Linked DNA regions of Bombyx mori. Each later gene encodes a partner of the first gene's protein in a complex. Links are inferred from orthologs where the notes say so. Each region holds a gene or a part of one and is shown in the gene's direction. Other genes may lie near its edges.

Region 1 (2,913 bases):
GGCCAAGGTCAGGGAGCAGATTGCGAAGAGACAGAAGACGCATCTGGAAGCGAACAAGGCGAGAGCTCTCACCAAGGAACAGAAGAGGGAGAAGGTAGGTTGGGAGGGGAGGGTCAGGTTGCGTTTCCGTTTGAAGGGCGGGGCAGCAACTGTACCCAACTAAGCAATAAAAAACAATAAGAAAAACGGTAAGGCTCTTCGGTAATAGCTTCATGGAAGAGCACAGGAGTAGTTTGGGTGCCAAGCACAGACCTCACACAATATATAATGTTGTCTAAAGGTGGCAACCCTCACACGTTGCCCGCGAGCTCATTTTAGACATCAGAGATAACTTTATATATTGTATTTACTTTATATGTTCACCGTGGTGCGTGAGGAATGTCAACCTTCACGATTGTCTAAATTTAGAATAGATCTTAAGGTAGCGTCAGAACGTTACTTCGACAAAGCGGCGCGACACGAAAACCCTCTTATCGTGGCTGCAGCTAATTACTTATCAGACCGCGACAGGGTAACGTAAAGCCTCCGTCGCCCGAATCGCCGCCGAATCCATATTATTAGGTCGCTGGTTCATCCGGCTCGAAGGACCAAAATATAGGGAGCGGTGTGAGTTTGTTATTGAAAGAATATGTTGCTTAAAAATTTTTATTGTTCAAATATTAAGTAAATCAAAGAAATGTTAACTATAATGTTATGAATGCACCCGGGTGACGCGGCTGTTGATCGTGCACTAACGATTTGTGGAATTAAAGTTAACGTGTCACGCGAATTATGCTGACAAAGGTGTTCGGTAATATATCACCGAACAACATGTCTTGCCGGATCCCCCAGGATTCCCTTTCGGTGCTTTAAGGCTAACTAGGCTTTTAGGCGAACTAACCCATAGACACAGCGACTGAGTTTCGCGCCGGATCTTTTCAGTGGGTCGCGTTTCCGATCCAGTGGTAGATTCAGAGAAGCACTGCTCTTACCAGGGCCAGTGCTAGCAAATTGTCTTAGGTTGAGTCCATGAGCTCACCTACCAGTCACGGCATGGCCCCTTAAGATATTAGCGAATAGGTAGGCAGCGGCTTGGCTCTGCCCCTGGCATTGCTGAAGTCCATGGGCGACGGTAACCACTCACCATCAGGTGGGCCGTGTACTCGTCTGCCTACAATGGCAATAAAAAAAAGGTAGGGAAAACAGATAACACTTCAGAGATATATATATTAATACATTGCTTAAAAGATAATTTCCCGCAATGTCCAAGATATCACTTCACATCACTTGTTCGTGTGATTTAAAAGAGATACAGATCGTTCAGTGCCGTCGGGCAGCGTCTTTATGTCGCTGTCCCCGGGCCCCAGGGTGGTCGGTCTGATCTCGTGGAACTCCTCAGGTTGACCGCAAGCTGCAGGAAGACACGTCGGCCGGCGTCCACGTGGCCGTGTACAGGTGAGTGCTTAGCGCCCCGGTGTTTTTAATTGAACTTTGTTTTTTTTTTTATTGCTTGGATGAGTGGACGAGCTCCCAGCCCACCTGGTGTTAAGTGGTTACCGGAGCCCATGGACATCTATAACGTAAATGCCGCCGCCCACCTTGAGATATAAGCTCTTAGGTCTCAGTATAGTTACAACGGCTGCCCCGGCCTTCAAACCGAAACGCATTACGGCTTCACGGCAGAAATAGGCGGGGCGATGGTATTGAAACTTTAAATGGTTCTGCTGTAAATTTGTAAAAATGTTGCTTAAACCAAAAAATTGTCTTTTTCACCCCTCGATATAAATTTGTAGTTTGTGAATCACGGATAAAGGTTAAAGTTAAAGTATCGCGCGCCCACACGGCAGGTACCGTCATTCTGCGTATTTCTGTCGCAACTCCGTCACGCGTGTTGGAGTCAGAACCTTCAGACACTTGTATGGTACAATTGAGGCTTCTTCCTCAATGTCCCGAGCTGGTTGGTCGCATTTGGAGAGCATTGGTAACGCCTCTCCAGACCATTACCGGCGGTAGGACGTCTTGTGGGTCCGCGCGGGTAGGCACCACCACCCCGCCTATTTCTGCCGTAAAGCCGTAATGCGTTTCGGTTTGAAGGGCGGGGCAGCCGTTGTAACTATACTGAGACCTTAGAACTCATATCTCAAGGTGGGTGGCGGCATTTACGTTGTCTATGGGCTCCAGTAACCACATAACGCCAGGCGGGCCGTGAGGTCGTCCACCCATCGAAGAAATAAAAAAAAACGCATAGAGTCACAGTCAAATCAGAAATAAGGAGATTCGCAGGAAAACCATGGTAACCGACATAGCCCAAAGGATTGCGACGTTGAAGTGGCAGTGGGCAGGACACATTGCTCGTAGAACAGATGGCCGTTGGGGCCAAAAAGTTGTTGAGTGGCGACCGCTTACCGGAAGACGCAGCGTGGTTAGGCCTCCCACAAGATGTACCGACGATCTTTGGAGGTTCGCGGGGATCCGCTGGATGCAGACAGCGCAGGACCGGTCTTTGTGGCGAGGCTTGGGGGAGGCCTATATCCAGCAGTGGGGGAGGCCTATGTCCAGCATTGGGGGAGGCCTATATCCAGCATTGGGGGAGGCCTATGTCCAGCATTGAGGGAGGCTTATGTCCAACAGCGGACGTCTGTGGGCTGATAAGAAGAAGAAGAAGAAGAGTCACAGCGTCGTTGCTGAAGCGGTACCTTGTTGATAGGATCCGTGATCTGTTCGAGTGCGCGTCGGCCAAGTTCAAGGTCGAGGTGAACGCCCAGCAGCTGCACATGAGCGGCTGCGTGCTGCTGCACCGGGGCTGCTGCGTGGTCGTGGCCGAGGGGGGCCCCCGCCAGCACGCCAAGTACAAGCGGCAAGTACCACTCGGGGGGGTCACTAGCCCACTGAGTTTCTCGCCGGATCTTCTCATTGGGTCGCGTTTCCGATCCG
Region 2 (2,758 bases), on another chromosome or scaffold:
CGAATATGTGATAATACGTACTAGGCATGAGTAAAACCTTGTTCTGCTTCTTAGACTGCAGTTGTTGTTTTTTGGCCTTCCCGCTGAACGGGGTCTTCCGACGTGCTTGGGGCATGACGAGTAACTCTGTTAATTATGGACAATGTTATTATGAAGTAAACATCTTTACAACTGTTGAACTGCAAGTACAGTTTTAATATTTTTCTGGGTATTTTAATTATTTTATTGAATATCACGTCATAGTATTTTACCATTATACTTTTTCTCGCTCTGATGACCAGATTTGAAGATACAAAAGTAACGCTTACAGGTGTAAGTGTAAACTCAAAAAATGTAGGTACTGGGTAATGTATTATTTATCAAATATACTAAACTAATTGATCGTAATAAGCGATTAAGAATCTGATTTTCAAAAACCGTAACCGATTTTTAACCGTAATTAAATCAAGAATTAATAAACTTAACTAATTAATAAAGAGAAAAACTAAAATTTGGAACACGAGGTCTCCTTGGAATATTATAATTGTACAGAAATAGTTTCAAACTTACGTTAGACTCAAAACAAGAAATCTATTCCTAATTTCTCACTGAAGGGCTTGAACTTATTATCTTTTTACCTATTTAATTGATTTTCGTGTGAATATGAAAATTATTCTACCGACCGGCTAACAATTGAAAACATTTTTTTTCACAGGATTGACAATTGACAGCTGACCGACAAATTAAAGGCATTGAACTCTGTTTTTTTTTTCAAATTTAGGATATTTTCTAAGGGATTTTATGACCTAGTAACTAAAACTTTTAGGTCAAATCTTATTTTAATTTATTTAATTCTTATTTTTACGAAAAATGATAATATAGAGTGAAATGAAATGAAGATGAAATGAAGTGAGATGAAATTAAATGAAATGAGATGAGATGATGTAGGATGAAATATAATCTCAGTAAAATGGTGGACATTTACTAAGACTTTTCAATTGGCTCTTTGGACGATCCCAACAAGCTACGTCTAGCGGATTTGTTTCAATTTCCCACACTTGTGCACTTTCACAGATATTATACAGTTAAACCTGAAGAAACAATAAATAGACAAAATAAAACAAATCACACAACTTCACTCCCCGCGTTCCCGCCAAAAAGTAAAAATTTATGATAATTTTGACAGCTCACAGTAAGGATGCTAAAGTCATTGACTTTGGATTATCGAACATAGATTTATTCTCATGGAACTAGAAATTGATAGTTGCATGGACAGTAAGCTGTATGGTCAAATTAAAACAAAAAAAGTTACATTACATTTAACTATTAAGTTCAGCAACAAAACCCTTCAACACCAGTTTCGATACGTTCTTTTTTTTCATCATTTATCCTATTGAATGCAATTTTTGTAGACGGGTTCACCTTTAGAATAAATTGAAACCAGGAATGAGATTTCTAATTATTTATTACTAATACAATGGTGTGCAACGTAAATTGTTTTATTATTATTCATCATCATCACAAGATTCACTACTACTAGAACTGTCCCTTAACTCTCCAGTTGGACTCGTCTACTTGTAAATTCTTGTTCACAAACTTCATTACATTACCATTGAAGCAATTTTCACTTCTTCTCAAATATTAAGTGTATTATCTGTGCGTCTTCTGACAACTGAGCACTGTCAGTGTCAACCTAAAGTCCTAAAGTAACCTAAAAAAACAAGAAGTTGACAATACACCAAACAACGCGAAAGTAGGAAAATAAACTTCTAATACAAATAAATAATAAACTTCAAAACGAAGTTGATCATTACATCAAAATGTTGCCGCTATCTTTGTTACGGACAGCGCAGAACCACCCTATGCTTGTCGAATTGAAAAATGGCGAAACTTACAATGGTCATCTCGTAAGCTGCGATAATTGGATGAACATTAATTTACGTGAAGTTATTTGCACGTCGAGAGACGGCGACAAGTTCTGGAGGATGCCGGAATGTTATATACGTGGTAGTACGATCAAATACTTGAGAATACCGGACGAGGTCATCGACATGGTGAAGGAGGAGACACAGGTTAAAGCGCGCGGTCGTAACGAGGTTTCCAAGGGACGCGGGCAAAACATGAGGACCGGTGGCCGTGGTGGTAGCCGAGGCGCATTCGGTAACCGCGGCAGAGCACCTCCACTAGCCCGTGGCGGCGGGAACCCGCGACCACAGAACAAAAATAAAAATAAAATGTAAGATAAGTTTTTTAATAAATTAAGTTATTTGGCTAAGGAATAGTTTTGTTTCATTTAAAGTTCAAAATTCCTCCATACATGCTGGTGCAAAGCAACCATATATTTGACCAAATCCAAGATTATTTATTAGTCATAATCCTGATGTAGAATTCATTGAAAATCAATAATATCTAAATAATTTGGAAACTGCAGATGCACAGGTAGTTATGAATTCATCAATCCATTAATATAAAATATTTAAGCTACCCATATCTCTGTTAAATCTAAAATGGGATACAACTTTATTATTTCTTGATATTTTAAGAAAATACATTTTTTTGTTTTATATCTTTAATTGGTTTTCACACTATTCAATTCGTGTCAATATATAAAAAAAATCAAAGTATACTGAAATCATTTATTTACAAAAAACGCTTAAAGTAATAATACTATTGTATAATATGGCAATACCCATTAATGAAATGGTAAAAAACAGAGTAAAAAAAAACAGTGTAAAAGCAATATTTTAATGATGATCCTTGAAACTTGATACAGATAGAG
Region 3 (4,281 bases), on another chromosome or scaffold:
TAATTAATTAATTATGTGCATATTTATATTATATCTTAATAAATTCTACTTTCACAAATGTATTTGTTTTTTTTAATTGTCTTTAATTGTCGCTATGGTAATAAACCTGAACACAAAAATGGAAATTATTTTATTTTTAACTAGCTGACCCGGCAGACTTTGTAGTGCCTCAATCGATAAATAAAAGACCTATTTTTTTGTATAAAATAAACTTAAAACAAACAAAAGGAATCCGTCCGACGCGACGGGGGACACATCAAAGTAAAATTTGTTTTTTTTAATTAATATTGTAATTTTTATTTAATTCCGAGCATTTTTATATTTATCTACCTTTTAAACCATCTCTGGACTTCCACAAATAATTCAAGACCAAAATTAGCCAAATCGGTCCAGCCGTTCTCGAATTTTAACAAGACTAACGAACAGCAATTCATTTTTATATATATAGATAAAAGGGATATTATCTTATTTAGCATCGAACGGCTGTATGCCATGAACTAGCATTACTGTTAGTTCAAATTAGCTTATTTGCTTTTCTTGGAATTAATGCACAGACATTACAGAACAATGCTATTTTAACCTAGTAACCCTAACTTATTTTCAAAGTTTAGGTTACTAACTACATTTACCTTATTTTGTGATGGTTTTCCTATTTCTTGACTATTTTCAGTTGGTTTGGTTACCAGTATTTCTGGTATTGCTGACGGTTCACTTTTCTCCGGTGTTAGTTTATGAATTTTAGCGGCAACTGGGCTATTTTTCAGAAGATTTTCCGTCTCCAAGGCTATATCTTCCGCTCTTTTTAAAATTAACTCTACGTCGTCCACGTCACCTTCTAATAGTTTTTCTTCAGTTTTCCCACCAGATAGCTTATTAATTTCACTAAGTATCATTTTAATTTCTTCGTCACTATCTTTAAAAGCTTCACAAGTCTTTTCGATATGTAAAAATTCTCTTGTAGACAAACTATTATCGTTCGATGGTAGGTCTTGATTTTGTGCCATTAAACTCTTCGCCATTGTAAATTGATATCTCTTAATTTACAATTTTCTCAATCTTATCAGCGTACTGTATTACTCACTGGTAAATAAAACTCACTGGCAACAGAAAATAAGCTAACCTTCCCTGAAGTCCTATTTTCAATCAAACTATCAAACCAATTTCAGTTGCTTAGCAACGGACGGACTCTAATTTTTACTATAATTGCCTGATTGGCCCTGGCTCTGAGTTTTTAAACTATGATATTACAACTAAGCCATGTTAGGCTTGTTATACCAGCTAGTACAGAAAATATTGGCCGCACATAATCTAAATAGAGTAAGTCGTCAAACAGGCGCATGTTTTAAAACTTATGCCAAATTCCAATAATGTTCCCAATCAATCAACTTAATTTCATTTCACTTTCACTCACACACCCACAAAAAACGATAAGCGTGTATGCTATGTTACTTTTGCCTTTCCAGTTTTTGAAAATTTTTGACAATGACAGTCTTAACAATATGTCATAAGTTAGCTTTTCGTAAAATTTAAGAAAAGGCTATTTTTGCAAAAATAGTGTTTTCTAAAAAAACCTTAACTTCATATTTTCCTTAAAAATGTCTGTACCACCACAAGCATTTGTAAACAAAAACAAAAAGCATTTCTTAGGCATTCCCGCACCGCTAGGTTATGTCGCTGGTGTAGGAAGAGGGTGCGTATCTTCAAATATAAAATAAACAAGTGTATTCAAGCTCAAATATAATTGTATTAATAATTATTTCAGAGCTACTGGTTTCACGACTCGATCTGATATTGGTCCTGCAAGAGACGCTAACGATGTGTCGTAAGTATTTAAAAAAATATATTTAATAATATTTAATAGAACTTATCAACATCAAAAGATGAAGCCTGATAGAAGAACTTATGAATCTTCTCTCAATCTTATGAATGAAGATCTTATGATATTTACTCGGTATTAAAGACAAAGTTTAGGAGAAAAAAAAAACGTATGTATCCTTTCTATTGACAAAAAAGGTAAATTGAAGAACATTCGACCTTCCTGTGTTTTTGTTTTTTATTGCTTAGACAGCACAGTGGTGGCTTTAAAGATTCCCTACTACCAGTATTTATAAAAATTATAATTTTTGCTAGTTTTATTTTTGTTACATGTTGTGGAAGTCATTCATGAATATGAGTTAAATACGCTCATTAGAAAAATTAATGGCACAGGCATCTGTGGGATTCAATTACCGGCATAGTCGCAGCTTTTGATACAAACACACAGGGCGTTTTATCTTTTAAGCTGCTGTGACTTCAAACTTAATTTTGACATGATATTGCTTCAAAGTTGTAAGAATAAATTTAATTTGTTATAAATGAAAAATATATTGCCTTTTTATATTTATTTTCCTATTTTAGTGATGATCGTCATGCACCACCAGCTGCAAAACGTAAGAAAACAGAAGACGAAGATGATGATGAAGACTTAAATGATTCTAACTATGATGAGTTCTCAGGATATAGTGGATCTCTGTTTTCTAAGGTATTTTATTTAACTAGTTTAGACAGTTGAACTGATGTGAGCCTCGACATAAGGATTTGACAAAACTTTAGATACCAGTATGACCTCCCTGAGACATGCTGTGTATGTTTTGCATCATGCTATGCAATCTTAACTTGAACTTGTTGTTTTGTAAGGCAGAACCATAGTACAAACTTGTTGTATTAAGATTACAATATAACAGTAAAAAAAAATATGCTAAGAGTATAGTATTTACTTTTCTGAGTTAATTAATTCTTAAATAATGTAAAGAAAGTGTAAAAAATATCCTGACCAGTTTTCTTACATTTGTAACTTTTGTTACATAACTTTTAAAACTTTGTATAGAAATTTGACACCATTAGTAACTAAACTACATCAACAGTATTGTGGCTTTTCCATCTGACAATAAGACAAAGCAAGGACAATAAGACACATCTATTGTGTTATATGTATGAGAAGATCTCAATCTATGACTTTTGAAATTCCAATGATTTGGACGGAACCAATGAACCACTTATTTTATTGTTATTTTTGTCTTACTTGTGCAGAAAATATTAATTAAAACCAAAAAGTCGAACTATGTATCCTAAAAGTATTCTAAAATTAAGCAATATGCTAAAAGATGGATCCCTCATGGTGTAGAACTGTACCATGACCACCCCAAAGCTATGATCTGTCTGCTATGCTAAAAGCAATGAAAACTTTCGAGAAGATTCCTAATCTAATGAGCCATATCCACTATCTCAAGGAAATTTAATTGATTTGATACGGCCCTGAAATCAGGCAATTGAAGAAAGATGAAATATTTAAAGAAAACCTTGAGATTTAGAGAAATCAGCTTTAGAATGTTTTATATAGTAACTGATCGAGTGACTATAAGAATGTTGTTGCGGTGCTATTATTTACTTATTAGGCGTTAGGCTATAAGATGTCACTGAAAATATATTTTGTACATTCACAAATGTAGTTCTTTCATGAAAATTTTGTGCTCTATTAGCAATGAACATGTTAACAGATTCCACCAAAAAATTCTACTATAGAAAAACAATATTAAGGTAAAGTCCACACATGTTAGCAGGCTACTGTTGGAAATTGAATCACAGTCTGGGTTTTCAGTTGCTGTAACACCATCCAAGACAAAACCACCATAAATTTAATGATTTTTTATCCATGGATGTTCAGCAAAAGGATTAAACAAACAAATCCTACAATATTTGCTAATTCTTCACTTTCTGAGATTATTCCAATACACCTTGTATTGTTTACTTAAGTGTAGATCATAATATTAAACAATGTAAACTTTATTATTAGGATCCTTATGACAAAGACGATGCAGAGGCAGATGCAATCTATGAGTCCATTGACAAGAGGATGGATGAGAAGAGGAAGGAGTATAGAGAAAAAAGACTTAAAGAAGACTTGGAAAGATATCGACAGGAGAGGTTATTTTACTTTTGAAGATTATTAACCGTAATTTTAGCTTAGTTAAAGCGGAATTTCAAATCAACTGCAGAAGGTGTTCATGTAAAATACCAATATTTTTATTAAACCACCAGTCAAACTTGGACCGTTTTGCTGGCTGATCTATGATTTGACTTTGATATTATTGCTACTAAATTTTACAGGATAATTCACTAGGCCAATGAATATTTAGTGAAAATTTCATGGGAAATAGGGAATACATGTATATATATCCCCTGTCCCACAAAGCGTATCTCAAGCCAAAACGTGGTTATAGTAAAAACGATATAGATCAAATT
Region 4 (3,077 bases), on another chromosome or scaffold:
TCGTCAAGTCCCACATACCCCGTGCGCCCCCTAGGCACGGGACCTCGTAGGAGGTTCGGCCCCCGCCCGAAAATTATAATAATAATAATAAATGGTTAGGAATTGGACTTGGAAAAAATGAATGACTAAATATTAGAATCAGAAGGAGATTATTGTATGTCTGTATTTTAAACTATACTGATAACTATATAGATGTATATTTTGGAACTTTGCAATATTTATACTCTATTTATTATAATACTATATTTATATAATTAAACTTTATACTTTAAATTTCAAATATTTCATAATCAGACATAATTAAAATGATTACATAAAGTAACTAAGTTTTTTTGAAATCTAGATTAATTAACATAAAAAAGTAAACGAAATGAAACCGACCCAAAGTTTTAAGTTACACTGTGGTGGTTGTTGGCATTCACTTTGTAAGTATTCGTTCCGATGAAAACTTAATATCAGCCAAACATAAAACAATAAATAAATAAAACTGCAATAATATGTATACTTTTTTATCTATTCACTTGAATCGAAAATGAACATTCATCACATCCAATTATTACACTAGATTGCACAAAATTACTTTTATTAAGCACATACACCCCACCACATCTACAATCGTATAAATACACATTTTCATCACTGTCAAACACCATTTCAGACAGTCTTACTGTTTCATAAAGCAATAGATCACTATTTTCATGGCAACTTAATGTAGCATCATACTGTTTCCTGGTGCTAGGTTCTCTTAAAACTGACCAAGCTTTTTGTAATAGGCGAAACTTATTATCAGAATCATCAGTTTTATTTTTATCGGGATGTAATGTCAAAGCGAGTCGCTGATAACTTTTCTTCAATTCTTCAAGGCTTGCTGTTCTATCGCAATCTAGTATTTGATAATAATCAATAGGTAGGTCATTACTTTCCATATTTAATAAAAACTCGTAAAAGAGTTTTATTTATAAAAAATAGTTTACCTCTCTTTAATTCAATTGCTGTTCCCACTTCCCAGTCTTTGATTAGAATTTTTTTGTATTTTATTTATGGCCTGGCCCAGTCTTTGATTGATTGTTTGAAATTCATTCTTTATTGTATTATCTATAATTTGTTCATTGGACGGGCAAAAGGAGATAGACCATACAAATTTCAATACTCTTGTCACAAAACTGTAACCTTTAAATAAATATAAATATAATATATATAAATTTAAATGTATGTTAGGTAAGGGGAATAATGGAATTAAATTAATTGCTCATGGGATAAAATTTAAGGAAGTGAATTAAGAAAGACATCACCGTAGGTATTTGTTAGATAATAAATAAGGTTCCATTAAAACTTATAAGATAGGTATGGCGTTCAAATCTGAAGAAACGCACAATTTACGAAATACAATAATTTACACGACTTTGTCCTTCCCCGAAAAAAAGTCCCGCCCAATATACAATTGTTGACGAATAATACCATAGTCGTCTGTGATCACGAATACTTTATGTAGTTATTCTAAGCGTTAGAAATAATTGAAATTAAACGGTTAGGATAGTTTTATTATTATCTACGATTCGCCGAAATAGAAGAAACTGCTATAATCTTAAAATGTAACAAATTCGCTAAACGTGAAGTTTTGTCCTTTGAAGTCACCAGAAATTCCGTTTTTAGATCTGGACAAATAGGCTTGTAAGCTACCTAATGTCAAGGAAAGGATGTCAAAAGTATAACCTCAAAATTTGACAGCCGGGTAACAATAAACATCAAACAAACTAAAACTTATAGAAGTTTTAAATTGTTAACACAAATGTAATGTTGTTTTAGTAAAAATTTCAATATTAACACATTGAAATGCCTACTTGGAACCAAATACAGTCACAACTTAGGAATCCTAACAATCCAGTAGTGTTTTTCGACATTACTGTAGGAACAACGGTAAATACCTCCCCGAACTTATTGTTTTTTATTAGATTTAAAAGAACACACAAAAATTTATGTTTATAAAATATTTATGTTTATTTTAGGAAATAGGTCGTATGATATTCGAGTTATTCGCCGACGTAGTACCAAAAACTAGTGAGAACTTCAGAGAATTTTGTACCGGTGAATACAGGCGGGATGGTGTGCCCTTAGGTTACAAAGGAGCTACTTTTCACAGAGTAATAAAAGATTTTATGATTCAGGGTGGCGATTTCGTAAATGTACGTATTAAGTTTTGTTTATGATAAAACGATGCCTAACTGAACATGATGGAAGTTTATTAATATTTACTATTCATTTTAGGGAGACGGTACAGGCGTTATGAGCATATATGGTGGAAGCACTTTTGCAGATGAAAACTTTGGTTTGAAACATGACTCTCCAGGGTTATTGTCCATGGCAAATAGTGGTAAAGACACGAATGGCTGTCAGTTCTTTATCACATGTGCAAAATGTAATTTCTTAGACAATAAGCATGTAGTATTTGGTAGAGTTATAGATGGATTACTTGTCATGAGGAAAATAGAAAATGTACCAACAGGACCAAATAATAAACCTAAAATACCAGTAACAATATCTCAATGTGGACAAATGTAAATAAAACTTCACTTTAAATTTTATCTTTTTATTATCATTAAATCACAATGGCTCTGCCTCACATTTCTAACAGACTAATAGATAAAATATAATATTCACAAATTTTTACATAAAGTAATCACAATAAATACTCAATAATTATGTACACTGAATTGAACTAATTTTTTTGGTTTGCAATTAGTAAGCGTCAAGTTTTCAAAGTGTGATTGTTTATTAGTAACTTTCTAGGCTGCATTGTTGCCGGCCCATTGCGCCTTCCGACTTCTTTAATGAAAGCACCTTCCATTTGTCGAGCAACTTGGTCAAAAAACAAATTAGATAAATGTGAATGTATAGCTGATCTAAATTCGAATGTTATCTGGAAGTCCACAACACACGACTGCTGTTCTCTTTTTAGACCAGGACTGAATCTCCAAAGGGTCAACATATGGTGGAAGAGTCTTCCATCAGAACACTCTGCTTTTACCAAATGTGGTTTGACTAGCGTAACATTTGAAGTGTAGCTTTCATTGATAGGA
Region 5 (4,237 bases), on another chromosome or scaffold:
CTACAAATCATTTATTAATAAAGCTTATTAAATATAAACAATTCCTTCTATCAGTGAATGGACAACTTATATATTAATTGTAAAAGTGAATTATATAGACTTACTTAATTACCGCATCCACGTGTTCCGCAACTCCCGGATCATTCTCACTAGAATACGTAACTTCCATATTTTACTGTATTCAACTGACACAAATTTATATTTATATCCAGTAAACTCCAGTCGTGCGTCGGAGCGGACACACACACTTTTTTTTTCTACCTACGCTGAGAGCCTTGAGAGGCTATTTCAGCGTAACCCTAACTTTTGTAGTTGAGCTCGCGGGGCTCAAACCTGATGACGTTGCTAACACGAACCCTAGCAAGACCCGTGCTTCGCAGAATCTACCACCGGATCGGAAACGCGACCCACTGAGAAGATCCGGCGAGAAACTCAGTGGGCTGTGTCTGAGAGTTAATTTACTCGTCGAGCCCTTCGTCGCAAGCGACGGGTTCGACGAGAACGGTGACCGGTACTTGAAGTACCTAGAAGCACCGTTAGTGGATCGGGAGGATCCGAGATGACGTGTTTTGGGCGACGTCGACTGCTTTCCATTCTGTCCGCAGGATCGGGAATGTAGTTACCGGCGGCCACGATGAGAGGGTTCTCGTGTCGTGCCGCTTTATCGAAGTGGCGCATCGACGCCGACTGTAGATACTTACTGATGGACTCTAAGTCCAGGTCGTCATGGAGGTCGACGTTCCTGACGAACCACGGGGCTCCGACGGCTATCCTGCAAAAACGGGATTGAATAATGTGGAACGATTTTAAGTGAGTGCGGGCCGCGTGAGCGAACACTACACTTGCATAGGTCATGACGGGGCGTATGCAAATTTTGTAGAGTGTCACCTTATTTCTAAGGGACATTTTACTTCGCCTACATATCATCGGGTAGAGACGTCCTAGAATGAAGGCGGCACGGTCGCGTACCGTCTTGATGTGAGGGCGGAATGTCATCCTACTGTCGAGGGTGACGCCTAAATATTTGACCTTCGGGGCCCACGGTATGGGCTGGTCGAACATCGTGATTGGGCGAATGGCGGGGGCGGAGGTGTTGACGCGCCTAGTCGGGAGGGGGATGCTCAGCGTGGTGTTCGGAGGGCGACCCCTTTTGAAGAGCACCGCTGTGCTTTTCGTGGGGTTGATGTCGATTCTAGTGACGACTGCCGGCGCAGCGGCTGCGCAGTGTCTGCGCCAGCCGAACCTACGTCTCGGGGGGAGGTGGGAACTATTGTTGTCACCTCAGCGGTACAATCGATAAAATAACTGCTTTGAACATAAATACTTTTGTTTTAAGGTTTTTTTTATTTTCTTTTTTTATTTTGCAGACGATTTCAGTTGTAACATTACGTTACAACACCCGCACGCTAAGCGGAACCCTAAAGTGTCGAACAACGCCGTGCGACCGACGCCGCGACGCCTCGCAGGATTCGTAAAAATACGGAGGGTCGATAAAGAAAAATTGAATAACGCGCACGCGCCGCGCCGGTCGCTGCACAAAATTATTAATTTTATTTAATTTAAATCCTATAACCTATATCCTATACCTATATAATTTAATTTAAATACCTTGTTGTACCTATAAGAGTTGTAACGATAAAATATATGATTAACATTAAAGCCTCAAATAAATAAACTTCACCTCATTTCATCCATATCATTATTAACTTCATATTAAATTGATATAAATAACAGAATAATTCCATGAAAGATTACGCTGTATGGACTGATACCTCCGCCTTTCTTGTTGGAAAATGGAACTGCTACTGTCATACGTCATACTGTGGTCTGTGATTTTTTTTAAGGTATTTTATGACCTGGTAAAAGTCAGTGTTTGTAAATTTACTCATAGAATAGTCATATCTTAATACCTACATATTATTAAATAATTATAAATTTAAAGTTCTCTATTTCACAGAACATTCTTTTTGTTATGAAGTAACAAAAAAGACAACGCCTGCTCTAAACTTTTTGAACACACTTCTATAGAAAACGTGAACAGTGACGAGAAACAAAATGTGAGAATAAAATAACTTTGGAATGTCTTAGATGTGAAAGGCAAATTTCAGTGAGCAAAATAATATCAATATTTGTTCAGTGGTCCTACAACACGATTATATTTTGCTCATAGCAATAGCAATTTCCAGAAAAAAGAATACAGGAATAATCGTTTGTTTGAAATAATACGTAAAGTAGTTTATTTGCAAAATGAGTTATATGCTAGGACATCTACACAATGGTTGGCAAGTAGATCAGGCCATTCTATCAGAAGAAGACCGTGTAGTGGTGAGTTTTAACTAGATTCATAGAATGTAGAAATCTGAGATTTAGTATCTGAAGACTAAAAATAATAATTATATTCTAACCTTACATCAATAGGTATTTGTTAAAGTATATAAATGCAGTAGAAACCAAGACCTTCAACCTTCTAGTATAAAAAACAATAGATTTTGAATTAAAGGAACTAACAAAATGCTTTGAGCCAAAACAGTTAATAGTTATTTAATTAGTGGCCTAATTGTCTTGCCCTATGATTCAACTATATTAAATGTAATTAATTCTAATTTACATATCTAGGTTATAAGGTTTGGACACGACTGGGACCCAACATGTATGAAAATGGATGAAGTATTATACAGCATTGCGGAAAAAGTAAAAAATTTTGCTGTCATATATTTAGTTGACATTACAGAAGTTCCAGATTTTAATAAAATGTAAGTATACCGTAAAACTACTTGTTCTAAATTTATTTCTGAAATTAAGATTTTGATAGGTTTTCTTAAAACCTTTGTGGAATACACAAGTCCTCCTACCTCCAGTGTTTTAAGGAAATTATGTTGTATTATTAAATTTGTTGTTTTATTAATTATTAAAAAAGTATCATAAGTGAAGAAGCAAAGAACTATGAGTTTTCTAGGAATTCTTAATAAGTCTGGTTCATACAGTAAATGAATTTCATTATCTACATTGTTAATAATTTTTTTCAAATTGTTGATTTTAAGACTAGAGTAGAACAGCAGTTCTTGATCACTGGAATGTTGCAAGTCAAGTGTGTTGTGAAAATTAGAAATACGATATTTCAATTTTTATTTAAGGTGATCTGGGAAATTGCATCTCAGGGATACATGTTGGTTAAATATACAATTGTTTATTAAATATTAACCATACAACAGTATTACATATGAGTGATGTAAATACCAACAACCATCACTCCCAACTATAAATCTTTGCATTTAAGGGTGTCATGTATATATAGAGTATGTTAATACATCATTAAGTAAAAAAGGTTGAAAGTTCTAGTCTAGTAGAAAGGGTCTAGTATATAAAATGACTAAGCAAGGCCTATAATAATATTATTTAAACTTATTTCTAGGTATGAATTATACGATCCATGCACAGTGATGTTCTTCTTCCGCAACAAACACATAATGATTGACTTGGGGACTGGCAACAACAATAAAATCAACTGGCCTCTCGAAGACAAGCAGGAGATGATTGATATTATTGAAACTGTGTACAGAGGGGCAAGAAAAGGACGAGGTCTTGTTGTCTCACCGAAAGATTACTCTACCAAATACAGATATTAGTTTAATTTAAAATAATGTTCCACCTGAATGGTCTAGTAATTTGTAATCATATCTGACATCATAGTCATCATAAATTTAGTAATGTAACTTTTTTTATATAAAAATAAGAACTATACATATTACATTATAACTCATGTGTTTTTGGAATTATGCTGTTCTTCCTGATATTAAACAAAGTAAAAGTAGAATAAATGACAAGTTTTATGCTGATGTAGATCCTTTTTTTTGTGTTGCAATATCTTCATCATTGAAAAAAAAAAAAACCATTATCAAAAATACTTTATTTTTATTTTTTATTGCTTAGATGTGTGGACGAGCTCACAGCCCACCTGGTGTTAAGTGGTTACTGGAGGTCATAGACATCTACGACGTAAATGCGCCACACACCTTGAGATATAGTTCTAAGGTCTCAGTATAGTCACAACGCCTGCCCCACCCTTCAAACCGAAACGCATTACTGCTTCACGGCAGAAATAGGCGGGGCGGTAGTACCTACCCGTGCGGACTCACAAGAGGTCCTACCACCAGTAAAATACCAGTAAAAGACCGATAAACGGTCGTGCCAAGGCCAAGAGGGACGAGAAGCCCTAAACACGTCATTTCGGATCCTC
Region 6 (4,200 bases), on another chromosome or scaffold:
CAAAATTATAATTGTAATTACTGGTGGTAGGACCTCTTGTGAGTCCGCGCGGGTGGGTACCACCGCCCTGCCTATTTCTGTCGTGAAGCAGTAATGCGTTTCGGTTTGAAGGGTGGGGCAGCCGTCGTTACTATACTTGAGACCTTAGAACTTGTATCTCAAGGTGGGTGGCGCATTTACGTTGTGGATGTCTATGGGCTCCGGTAACCACTTAACATCAGGTGGGCTGTGAGCTCGTCCACCAATCTAAGCAATAAAAAAAAAAAAATGCGTTCTCGTCTCTTTTAAAAGTTCATTACACAAACAAAGCGATCGGGGCTACACGTGAAAAAATTGTAACTTAAACAAATGATTTATAGCCGTCGTGACCTAAAGGATATGACGTTTGGTGCATTCGTATGTAGCGATGTAACGATGTTCGAATTGCGCAGGCAAGTGCCAATTTTTCTAATGAAATACGTACATATCAACTAAACTGACTTCCACGGTAAAGGAATAACATCGTGTAGTAAGAACAAAGCCCGCAAAATTATAATTTGCATAATTACTGATGGTAGGACGTCTTGTGAGTTTGCACGGATAGGTAGCACCACCCTGCCTATTTCTGCCATAAAGCAGTAATACGTTTCATTTCGAAGGCTGGGACAACCATTGAATTTTTGAGGAGGCAGTCTCCTCCCGGTGATGGTCACGGGGCCTCCCCCGGGCCAACTCCCTCACCTGAGGGGGTTGAGGCTGCGCCGCACGCTACCTACCATCACTCTAGCGCGCTGGCACAAGGAGGACGGGACAACACGTCAGCGACTACGGCCTGCAATGCGGTCCGCATTGTCGTCGTCACTATCGTCGCCGAACATACTGTGGAAGAGCAACGCGGTCGGAGGTGTATCGCGTTCTGACCCATCAGGCTGGTTTTGGCCAAGCAGAGTATCCCAGAACACCAGCGGCATCGCCCGGGCGGCCAGGTAGGGCCACCGTACCGCGGAGACCAGCGTCATTGGTCATCGACTACCGTCTCGACGACCCGTCGGTCAGGGGTCCTCGGAGGGGCGCCGCGTGTCTGGTTATAGTGTTGACCGCGGGAACCCCCCCTACATTGTCCGGATTCTGAGCCCGGACGGAGATCGGACGTTGGGTGTAAATGTGCAAGGGAGTCGTTTAGTGCGGTAGGGCCCTAAAACTCCTTGGGCCCGCGGTCTGCTCCCAAAACCTGCAGATCGTAAAGTTCCACATATCTCACGCCCTCTTAGGCGCGGGGACCTCTTAGAAGGATCGGCCCCGGGCCCGAAAAAAAACCATTGTACTTTAAAAACTGGGACATTAGAATTCAAATCTCAAGGTGCATGGCGGCATTTACATTGTAGATGACTATGGGCTCTAGTAAACACTTTAAGTTCTTCATTTTGAATGACTCATTATCTCATCTTCTCATCTGAATAGGTATACAAAAAAAAAACTTTTTAGAAGGTAGCTTTGTCTTTTGTTACAAAGAATTTGGCGATATTGGCTATTTTCCTTTTGCCTATACAATTGACAAATGAAACAAGCTAAACAGTCCTTATACCATTTTTAAGGTTAGTATTTCTGTTTGTAGCTATAAAAACAAATAGGTAAATAAACATCTTAAAAAATGCCAGATATAGAAACTAAAAGAAAAGCAGAGGATGTGTCTCTTGTACCCTCCAAGCGAGTACGGCATGAGATCTCAGTAGTCGGCACCAGAGAAAAGGCAGTTGTTACTTCATCTGTGAGTATTGTTTTCAATAAAGTTTACTTATTTTCTCAATAGTACGGTCTATAAAAGCTAAGAACTCTAACGCCACGGTGAAAGCATCAAGAGATCATAATTATAATTATTAGAAATGGAACATAACATCTAAAATAAACTTTTAGAAAAACACAATCTGTACTTAGGTAATCATGATTGATATTTGTTAAAATTTAAGGTAATACGAATTTTAGTCGGCTTTTACTTTAAGATTTATTTTTCAACATTTGTAGTGATCAACAAGATTCCAAGATTCCTGTGTTTTGTATTTTATATTCTTGTCGTTCTAGGTTCCACGAACATCAAACTTGTATGCGCCAATTATGTTGTTGGAAGGACACCAAGGAGAAATTTTCACAGGCAAATTTCATCCTGAAGGCAAACATTTGGCTTCTGCAGGCTTTGACAGACAAATATGTAAGTAACAAAATCATGACAAAGCTTTTGAATTGGCAAAGTGTTTCTAAAATTCACACTCTAATAATATACTACTATCAAAACGTTAATGAAGAATTGACACATTTGATAACACAAATTATAAGATTACAGTAGGTAGGTTTTAAATTTAATTGAAAAGAGTGAACAAGGTAAAATCTGACCTAGTGTATAAGTGATTATTGGAGACCATAGACATTATATTACAGCGTCTTAAATTTTCTCTGAAGTCCAAATCCATTTCAGTTTGATTTAATATGCATTATTAAGAATGACTGCCAGTACCAATATCCCAGGCATGGGCCACACTGTACTGGGGTTTTAGTGACACGAGCCCTATAATGTAGGGAACAATATGATACAATACTCAAAATGATAGCTGATATAAACTGTTTAGCTTAAGCCACCATTAATATAAAAAAATACAAAATAAATGTTTATACCATTGAAAATTTCCACCAATGTCAGGGTCATGTTGACAACTTATAAGCTGTACAAGTCCAACTTAGTAATATTATGATTTTTGATTTCTTATTTTCACAGTAATATGGAATGTGTATGGTCAATGCGAGAATGTGATGGTGATGAAAGGTCACACGGGAGCAATAATGCAGCTTTGCTTCTCACCTGATGGTTCACATTTGTACACTGGAGCTACGGACAATACTGTAGCAGTATGGGACGTACCCACCGGGACTAGAATCAAGAAGTTAAAGGGTCACGCTAACTTTGTGAACTCTGTTTCAGGTATGTTTCATAGTTTGAGTTTTGACACACAATGGTTTTCATGCTAGTGCTTTTTAGTAGTACAAATACACAACAGTAACTTAATTAAACATTACTTTGCACTCTCAGAGCCTTAAAGTGATTGGATCCAAATAAAGTGGGATTGACCTAAAATTGAAACTATAATCCGTAACCATGGTTTGAAACCAGATAACATCAATCTAAAATCTCAATGCCTGTGGATACAATAGAACTGTAAATTCATTCATGGCATCCATTAAAAAATTGGTTTAGACAACGTAACAATCTATTCTAACTTTCTCGTGTTATCTCTATATCCAGGAGCAAGAAGAGGTCCAGAACTCTTAGTTTCAGCTTCAGATGATAACACCATAAAATTATGGGATGCAAGGAAAAGGAATCCAGTTGCATCGTTTGACAGTTCATATCCAGTCACAAGTGTACTCTTCAATGATACAGCTGAAAAAATTTTATCCAGCGGTGTGGACAATGTCATCAAAATGTGGGATATAAGGAATAATCAGATTTCCTTGAAAATAAAAGGACATACAGACACGGTTACAGGTTGGTAATTCTTTATTGATTCTGATTAATTAGATTTTTATTAGGTGATAATACTGCAACCAGAAATTAAATTAAAATATTGATACAGTTTATCTAGAGTGGAGTGAGGGCAATATGATGACAGTAATGACTTCAGTCTATTAGTTAACTACTAAAATACTGATTACCATACAATGTATTTAACAAATATTGATCTTATGAGGAAATGAGAATGGATTGATTGGTATGCAGTACAGTAGTAGTAGTTGCATACATATGTATTTCTCTTTATAATCCCTGTTGTTACTTGTTGACGGGTGTATTGTAAACTTCTTCACCCATTCTGCCTTCGGTAGCCCAAACTGGTATTAGGTAATTTTAGAGAAATGTAACAGCTATTATTAGAATGTCTCTAGCCTTATAAGTAGTAATAATTCATGACTAAGACTACTTGTTTAGTTTACTTGTAGATCGTGAAGTCATCTACCCAGGTGCGGCAATAAATATGTGAATAGAAATCATATGAGTTTGATACATTTAATGACTGGCAATGTCTAACTTGTGTTGCAATACTCGTTTCCAGGATTATCATTGTCATGGGATGGTGCATATCTCCTGTCCAATTCAATGGATAATACACTCCGTATTTGGGACGTTAGACCGTTTGCACCAACAGAACGCTGTGTCAAATTAATGTCTGGCCACCA

Evidence for each region.
Region 2: U4/U6 small nuclear ribonucleoprotein Prp3 (region 1) and U6 snRNA-associated Sm-like protein LSm4 share a complex: the UniProt entries of both Homo sapiens proteins name them as parts of the precatalytic spliceosome. The link is inferred for Bombyx mori from reciprocal best matches to the Homo sapiens genes PRPF3 and LSM4.
Region 3: U4/U6 small nuclear ribonucleoprotein Prp3 (region 1) and pre-mRNA-processing factor 6 share a complex: the UniProt entries of both Homo sapiens proteins name them as parts of the U4/U6-U5 tri-snRNP complex. The link is inferred for Bombyx mori from reciprocal best matches to the Homo sapiens genes PRPF3 and PRPF6.
Region 4: U4/U6 small nuclear ribonucleoprotein Prp3 (region 1) and peptidyl-prolyl cis-trans isomerase H share a complex: the UniProt entries of both Homo sapiens proteins name them as parts of the U4/U6-U5 tri-snRNP complex. The link is inferred for Bombyx mori from reciprocal best matches to the Homo sapiens genes PRPF3 and PPIH.
Region 5: U4/U6 small nuclear ribonucleoprotein Prp3 (region 1) and thioredoxin-like protein 4A share a complex: the UniProt entries of both Homo sapiens proteins name them as parts of the precatalytic spliceosome. The link is inferred for Bombyx mori from reciprocal best matches to the Homo sapiens genes PRPF3 and TXNL4A.
Region 6: U4/U6 small nuclear ribonucleoprotein Prp3 (region 1) and U5 small nuclear ribonucleoprotein 40 kDa protein share a complex: the UniProt entries of both Homo sapiens proteins name them as parts of the U4/U6-U5 tri-snRNP complex. The link is inferred for Bombyx mori from reciprocal best matches to the Homo sapiens genes PRPF3 and SNRNP40.

The regions. Positions count from the first base shown.
Region 1 is NC_085130.1:18,563,303-18,566,215, forward strand, and holds part of U4/U6 small nuclear ribonucleoprotein Prp3, read left to right. Parts: coding exon 1-94; intron 95-1,378; coding exon 1,379-1,434; intron 1,435-2,686; coding exon 2,687-2,836; intron 2,837-2,913. UniProt on the Homo sapiens protein: Plays a role in pre-mRNA splicing as component of the U4/U6-U5 tri-snRNP complex that is involved in spliceosome assembly, and as component of the precatalytic spliceosome (spliceosome B complex).
Region 2 is NC_085117.1:3,992,036-3,994,793, forward strand, and holds U6 snRNA-associated Sm-like protein LSm4, read left to right. Parts: upstream 1-1,432; 5' UTR 1,433-1,799; coding exon 1,800-2,219; 3' UTR 2,220-2,258; downstream 2,259-2,758. Other genes in the region: guanine nucleotide-binding protein-like 1, read right to left, coding at 22-115. UniProt on the Homo sapiens protein: Plays a role in pre-mRNA splicing as component of the U4/U6-U5 tri-snRNP complex that is involved in spliceosome assembly, and as component of the precatalytic spliceosome (spliceosome B complex).
Region 3 is NC_085109.1:9,935,192-9,939,472, forward strand, and holds the start of pre-mRNA-processing factor 6, read left to right. Parts: upstream 1-1,481; 5' UTR 1,482-1,595; coding exon 1,596-1,690; intron 1,691-1,762; coding exon 1,763-1,822; intron 1,823-2,397; coding exon 2,398-2,521; intron 2,522-3,832; coding exon 3,833-3,963; intron 3,964-4,281. Other genes in the region: centrosomal protein of 162 kDa, read right to left, coding at 630-1,019. UniProt on the Homo sapiens protein: Involved in pre-mRNA splicing as component of the U4/U6-U5 tri-snRNP complex, one of the building blocks of the spliceosome.
Region 4 is NC_085116.1:6,471,981-6,475,057, forward strand, and holds peptidyl-prolyl cis-trans isomerase H, read left to right. Parts: upstream 1-1,493; 5' UTR 1,494-1,833; coding exon 1,834-1,917; intron 1,918-2,006; coding exon 2,007-2,183; intron 2,184-2,265; coding exon 2,266-2,559; 3' UTR 2,560-2,577; downstream 2,578-3,077. Other genes in the region: coenzyme Q-binding protein COQ10 homolog A, mitochondrial, read right to left, coding at 2,747-3,077. UniProt on the Homo sapiens protein: PPIase that catalyzes the cis-trans isomerization of proline imidic peptide bonds in oligopeptides and may therefore assist protein folding. Participates in pre-mRNA splicing.
Region 5 is NC_085120.1:13,294,256-13,298,492, reverse strand, and holds thioredoxin-like protein 4A, read left to right. Parts: upstream 1-1,437; 5' UTR 1,438-2,247; coding exon 2,248-2,325; intron 2,326-2,616; coding exon 2,617-2,753; intron 2,754-3,412; coding exon 3,413-3,626; 3' UTR 3,627-3,836; downstream 3,837-4,237. UniProt on the Homo sapiens protein: Plays a role in pre-mRNA splicing as component of the U5 snRNP and U4/U6-U5 tri-snRNP complexes that are involved in spliceosome assembly, and as component of the precatalytic spliceosome (spliceosome B complex).
Region 6 is NC_085109.1:1,114,831-1,119,030, forward strand, and holds the start of U5 small nuclear ribonucleoprotein 40 kDa protein, read left to right. Parts: upstream 1-1,400; 5' UTR 1,401-1,630; coding exon 1,631-1,747; intron 1,748-2,058; coding exon 2,059-2,185; intron 2,186-2,746; coding exon 2,747-2,950; intron 2,951-3,271; coding exon 3,272-3,514; exon of another isoform or gene 3,515-4,076; coding exon 4,077-4,200. UniProt on the Homo sapiens protein: Required for pre-mRNA splicing as component of the activated spliceosome. Component of the U5 small nuclear ribonucleoprotein (snRNP) complex and the U4/U6-U5 tri-snRNP complex, building blocks of the spliceosome.